Kluyveromyces lactis: one gene and its partner. The protein of the gene in region 1 interacts with the protein of each later gene in a biochemical or structural test. Links are inferred from orthologs where the notes say so. Each region holds a gene or a part of one and is shown on either strand. Other genes may lie near its edges.

What was found. The genes of interacting proteins can lie anywhere in the genome.
Region 2: the proteins of ATG17 (region 1) and ATG29 form a complex in vitro, tested with the Saccharomyces cerevisiae proteins (2 studies listed by BioGRID). The link is inferred for Kluyveromyces lactis from reciprocal best matches to the Saccharomyces cerevisiae genes ATG17 and ATG29.

Annotation. Positions count from the first base shown.
Region 1 is NC_006040.1:231,678-235,262, forward strand, and holds ATG17 (protein kinase regulatory subunit ATG17), read left to right. Parts: upstream 1-1,703; coding exon 1,704-2,975; downstream 2,976-3,585. Other genes in the region: mRNA splicing protein SPP382, read right to left, coding at 1-1,489; threonine--tRNA ligase MST1, read right to left, coding at 3,084-3,585. UniProt on the Saccharomyces cerevisiae protein: Autophagy-specific protein that functions with ATG13, ATG29, and CIS1/ATG31 in response to autophagy-inducing signals as a scaffold to recruit other ATG proteins to organize pre-autophagosomal structure (PAS) formation.
Region 2 is NC_006039.1:856,623-859,526, forward strand, and holds ATG29 (Atg29p), read left to right. Parts: upstream 1-1,782; coding exon 1,783-2,247; downstream 2,248-2,904. Other genes in the region: REV3 (DNA-directed DNA polymerase), read right to left, coding at 1-1,341; SET6 (Set6p), read right to left, coding at 2,236-2,904. UniProt on the Saccharomyces cerevisiae protein: Plays a role in autophagy. Functions at the preautophagosomal structure (PAS) in order to form normal autophagosomes under starvation conditions. Also plays a role in mitophagy and regulation of filamentous growth.

The DNA of each region.
Region 1 (3,585 bases):
TCTTTAATAGCGAGTTGTTAATGACCTTATATACTTTATTCCTGGTTGGCAAATCGAAGAAATCATTATATTCTTTCAACACATCAATAATAGCTGAAATGTAAATTTCATTCTCTGCATCGGTAAATTCGTCAATCAGGTGAAAGTGTGAATCGAAGTAATCAGCGAAAGATGAAAGCCAATACCTGTTGACTAATTCATAAAACTTGGAGTCACCCACTGCCTCCTTCAAGAGAATAACGTTTTGAGGGTTAACAGTCATTGAAGGTTCCCAATTTTTCAAAAACTGCTCGAACTCCAGCAGGATAAGTGCTTTTAATGACTTTAAATCCCTTTCTCCCAAAATGAGATGCAACTCGCCGTATGTCACCATGAATTCATCTGACAGAAATTGAGGAGAAAGTTGTATTTCGAGAGCCGGCATAATGTAGCGGGAAAGGAAGTGTTCCCTGCAGCTAATAAAGTCAATAATAGGTAAATACTGAACGGTTATTTGACGTAGCATCCTCGAATATCCGGTATTTGAATCTAACCAATAACATAAGGGTTGATACACCAACCTATAAATGCTGCTTTGTGTTTCGTTCAAAATATATCCAGATTCCATTCTATATGAAAGAAACCTTATTGCTGCCCTCAAATGGTTCAACTTTTCGACCTGCATATCTGCCGTATTAATTCCACGATTAAGCTCTTTGAGCAAGAACATGGTACAGAGCTTATCAAGTATGTCATCGTCATTTATTTCTAGGCATTCAGTAATCTGATCTTCAAGACTTGGTTGCGAAAGTTGTTTTTCCTTGACTTTTTCTAAAACACTTTGTAGCCTTTCCTCTTGGTGTACTTTGCGCTCGTCATCTAGTTGAGCTTTTTCCAAGCCAACTTGTATTCTATCTATGTCCGAATGAAGCTGCAGAAGCTTATTAGCAATTTCATTCAAAGAGGAAATCTCTTCTTCATGTAATTCAGAACCATTGATTGTTCTTGTCACCGTATCAGGTAGTTCTATTTTTAATTCCGCAAGGAGACTTATATTTTGAATCAATTTCTCAAGCTGGGTGGCACGACGAGTCTTAAACTCCACTGTTTTCTTTTTATTTGAACTTTCATCTGATGATGCTGAAGTATTACTATAGTTGGAGTCATCTCTATCATGTACTGCACTTAACATCCCTAATCCGACACCTTTAGGACGAGTGACTGTTTCGATTGGGTTCACTATACCTTTCCCATCTCGTCCTAAACCTTCACCTTGTTTGTAACCCATTTTTGATAAAAGCTTGGCACCCATACCATAGGTCTTTAACATCTGGTCGCTTTTCAATCCATCATTGGAGTTGGCTTGTCGTACCGGTTCATAGTCTTCTTCTTCTTTTTGTTCTTCATTGTCATCGCTATATCCATATGGATCGGTAAATACCATACTATTCATTGTCATACTGATCTTTCTTCTTTTGAACTGATCATCGTCACTGATATGTTCTGACATCTATACTGAATCACTGGAGTAGTAATAGCTGACTTGGAGTGACTGATACTCCTTTCAATCTTTACTCCGATTAATAGGTATTTATTCATACTTTGAAAAGATTTAAAGGTTTGAAGTTCAGTCTTCGAAGTGAAATTGACCGTTTAAGGGTTTCAAATTGGAAACGTTGAAGAGATGAAGATCTTTCGGTTGATCTGAACTGCGTCTACAAGAAATGAGTGATGCTGCAACTACTATACCCAGTGATGAGATAGATAAATTGTGGAATAAGGCGAGAAACCAGCTTGTGGAAGCTCAAGTCGAATGTGAAGAATCATTAAAAATCCTCTCTAAAGTGCGAACTGAAATGGACAGCTCTCAAAAGTCCAGATTTAAACTTAAATTTATACTTAATTGTTTGGTGAACCAGGTTGAGTTCTTCAAGAATATCATGCTCGAGAAATGTATTTCTACAGAGTTGATTGACAATGAATGGTCAAAGCTGGTTTTAGTCGAGATAGTCAATGACGTGAGTTATTGGCAAAACGAGATAACAACAAAGATGAAGATCTTGCAGGGTACAAAATACGACTTGACTGACGATCACAGTAGCCTTTCAGATTTCATATGCATGGATCACGTAGACATACTACAACAAAAAATCGATGAGATTCCTATTATAAAACAACAAGTGACAAACATACGACAACACTACAAATCGATAAAAGATCGAATAGAAAACCAACTAGTGGCTGTAAAGTTGAAAAAACTCAGAACTTACTTTGATTCACATTTCAGCAGGGATAGCAAAAATAATCTATTCAAATTGTTGGAAAGTGATTATGTCACTGAATTGAACGAATTTGAGAATGAACTTGCCGATTTCTTGAGATCAATCACTGATCATTTCGACAAATGCACGATATTGAAGGAACAGCAGATTCCACTACCAGATTTGAAGGAACTTTTCCAGATTGTAAAGAAAGACGATACACAGTTAGAAAATATAAGGGAATTAGTATTCGAAACGGGACTTGAAGTGAAAGCTTTCTCAAAGAAAGTCAATGAAACAATAAGTGAAATAATGGACAAAATTGGTGGATTCCATCTGCTGGCTTCCAAGATTGTGACAGAGTTAGAAAAATGTGAGGAATACTTATCTATCTTCCAAAAGATTGCTAATTTAGTATTCGTTTATAAGGAATCTTGCATAAAAAAGATTGAACAAGTGCAACAACTCTGTGAGTTTTACGATAAGTTCAAATTAGGGTATAAAAACCTTCTACGAGAAAGAGACAGACGGAAAGCCACTGCGTTACAAATGGAGAAAATATTAAAGGAATGTCAGGAGAAACTACAGGCACTGAGTGATGCTGACTTGGACCAACGCCAGCAATTTTTACTTGAAAATGGTGACTATCTTCCCGAAAACATCTGGCCAGGTTATATCGACGATATGGAATCGATGTATAGTTTCGAATATAGCATACATAATGTACCGAATTGACGGTATTGTGTTATTATTGATACATAAGTATACATATTTACAGGTATAAATTATCTTTTACATCGTTATGGTTAACATTACTTTCTGTGGTTCAAAAATTGCAAGGTATCATTTATAATTTTTCTCAAGATCGACGAACCTTTCAAAGACATCATCGATAGTTAGTAAATCCACTTTCTTCGACTCCCTGGTTCTAATCGCCACCTTGCCTGCTTCAACTTCTTTGTCACCAATCATTATAATATAAGAATAATGCTTCTTGATGGCTTCTCTAATTCTTTTACTTACAGATTCATCTCTTGCATCCATATCAACAGAGAAATGGAAGCTGTTGAGTGGAATTGGGCTTTTTGGATCACTATTTTCACCACGTAATGAGTTGACTGTCTTGAAAGCCAATTCCATTATCTTCTCATCTTCAGTCTTCACTGGGATGACCATACATTGGTTTGGATTCAACCAAAACGGCCATTTACCTTTGCTTGAATCAATTAAAATGGCCATGAATCTTTCCACCGAACCGAAAACAGCCCTATGAATCATGATAGGTCTCTTGTAACTATTATCCTTGTCCTTGAATTGTAAATCGAATCTTTCTGGCAATTGAAAA
Region 2 (2,904 bases), on another chromosome or scaffold:
CTCCGCACGTTTGGAACTGACATGTGAAGAGTGCGATTCATTGGAGGAAATATTTAGCAAAATGGGAATATTTTTAGTGTTTGTAGACGCTACTTTTTGTTCACGAACAGAAGTATATTGGTTGTTCAATTTGAATTCTACTTCTGACCAACAGAATACTTTACTACTAGCATTCCTTGGTATTTTGGGCCATAATTCTTGAAGGGCGTCTTTGGTACTTGCAAAAAAATTCTCATTAATGAAAGGATCCACAAAGTTGTCAAAATTTAAAGCTTTTTCTTTGTTAAAAAGGGAAGACATTCGTTTCTTAGCTTCATCAAAGTGTTTCACCAACCTTTCATCTTCTTTCCAATTATATTGTAATTGAGATTCTCGAAATATTTCTTTTAATCCTTCATATTCAGCAAGCCCTTTCCTTTTCCTAAGCAGTTGTATCTCTTTCCATATATCTTTTGTAGAATTAACATATCCTTGATCTGATGTTTGAAGGTCTTTCTTAAGCTCAACAAAATCATGGTGTAAATCCCTGAATTGAATTTCTTCTCTGTTTAAAATGAACTGTGGAATAATATCCATTTCAAGAAAGGTCTTTCCAATTCGATGAAATGGATCTATGTCTAAAACATTTTGATTCGGATGCAAGTGTTTTTTCAAAAAACGTTCCAAAGAGTCCGTGTGCAATATTTCATTCATATCTAGATCAGTTAACAGAACAGGTTGCCGAAAATAGCATTTGGATAGTTTTAACCATCCGCAACCAAATAAGTTATAGTCAGCCATCATTTGCAATAAATAAGGTATATGAGCCTCAAAGACATCCACTTTTGAGGTGAATATTCTGCCATCTCTAAGTAATTCAGAGAGTTTATTACTATATGAACCATTCAAAAGAGTAATTTTATAGTAAGGTTCATATCCTACGTGGTATCCGTAAAATGGAACGCCTTTGACAACGGACACATTAGCAATGTATTTCAGGGAAGTTAGCTTCTCTTTAAAATCTGTTTTGGTAAAAGTTTCAATCATCCGTGTCTCAAGTATTTTGTGCAAACTGGTACATCTATTCCGTATTACTGATGCTTTATCATTCGAATGTCCGTCATATTTGATGAATATGTAAGGGAAAATGCCATGGCAATGAATTAGAACTTTGTGTCCGGTAGATAAACATCCATAGAACCTTAGTACTGGCACCTGAACAAATCGAAGTCCAGGAAGGCTCTTACTAGTTTTACAATCCAATAGAGTTGGGAAGCATTGATAGCTGTCTGAATTATTAATCTGTATGTTGATTTCATTGGAGTCTAAGCTGGAGTCTAAAGAACCAAAAATATCACTCATCTGCAAGTAATCATCATATCAGATTACAGTCACCTTAATGTAGCACAGTTATATCTTCTGATGTAAACGATGTGAATGGTATAAAAGTAATATCCTTGATTAATGGGTGATATACTGTGACCAAACTTCAGATGAGAAATAGCGATGAGCAATCCTGCAAAGTTGGGCTAAACTTGATTATAGTTGGGTATATTAGTATTCATGATTACCCGGATATTGTGATCATTCTGATACGTAATGAATAATCATATTTTAGCTAAAGTGATTCTCGTATACTGGAGTTGTCCGAGATGAAAGTGAGATCTAGTTGAACAACATTCACCGCAAGTTCCTAATCGAATTTAATAGCAAATGTTACTTTAAATTGTTCTAATCTAGATTCTGTGGTATAGGAAGAAATTTGGTGATTCTATAAAATCCACAGTGTGAGGTGTATTTACAATGAATAATGACAACACAAAAGTGTACGTAAGAGTGGCAGGTAAACGACCTGAAAATTTTGTCGAAACAAAACCATTTATTTGGGATTCTCGTCGAGATAAGATTCTATGGACCAAAATCTCAAAAATTGACTCGTTAGAGGATATGGATTGGCAGGAATTGGGGGCTGATTTAGGTGCACCAGAACCCTTTCTCAAAAAACGGAGTTATACTTTATTTCAAAATCAACTAAAAGTTTTATCGAACCAAATAGACGTTACATCTAATACCCGGTCCTCATCAGAGTCACGAAATTCCGTTGACAACAACATTCTCCAAAATTTACAGGCATCAAGAATAATGAATCATAAATTGGATAAGACGGACAACTTAGCCAATAATCAAGAGTCTAGTAGTGAACTTTCGAATTTAAGTGTGAGCAAGTCAGCACTTGAGGACGCATTGATGGATTGTTTACAACTCTGAGAGGCATCTACTACATTTGCATTCAAAAAACCAATTATCCTTCAATATTGCCCTTCTCCGGTTGACGTCAAGGTGTAATATACCCTTGTAATCAATACAGAGCTCTTCTCCCTTCTGCACATCAGTTTGTAGAATGTATTGAAAGACTCTTTCGACCCTCTTTTTCTCCACGTTAGGCACACAGGAATGGTTAAAATATGAGGCCTCCGGATGAACCATATAACCCAGATATTCCCTATCATCGTCCGACTCTGAAGTCTCCCAAATGCCAAATGAGTTTCCATATTCAGAACCAAGGATATGTCTAAAAACTGATGTTGTCATGATATACCTATACTGGGGAGCTAGAGTATAAACCCATTTGAAAACTTTGATCTGAAACTCCAGTAGAACAGGGAATCTCATTATTTTCTCCACTTCATTTGACTGAAGTTTTTCCCACGTATTCCACTTCACACTATTTCGATCCAAATGTGTCATGTTAAATAAACATTCTATCACAAACCTGATACAGGAATAATGATCCTCATCTATCACTGGAAGTTGGTTGGTGGCCTTGGCAAGTTTCATTTTGGAAACTCTAGGCATCCAAGTACTTTCTAAGTCCATCCAACAACTCTCAATTTCCTGATGCATCCGCTTATTATCGTAGTCTTT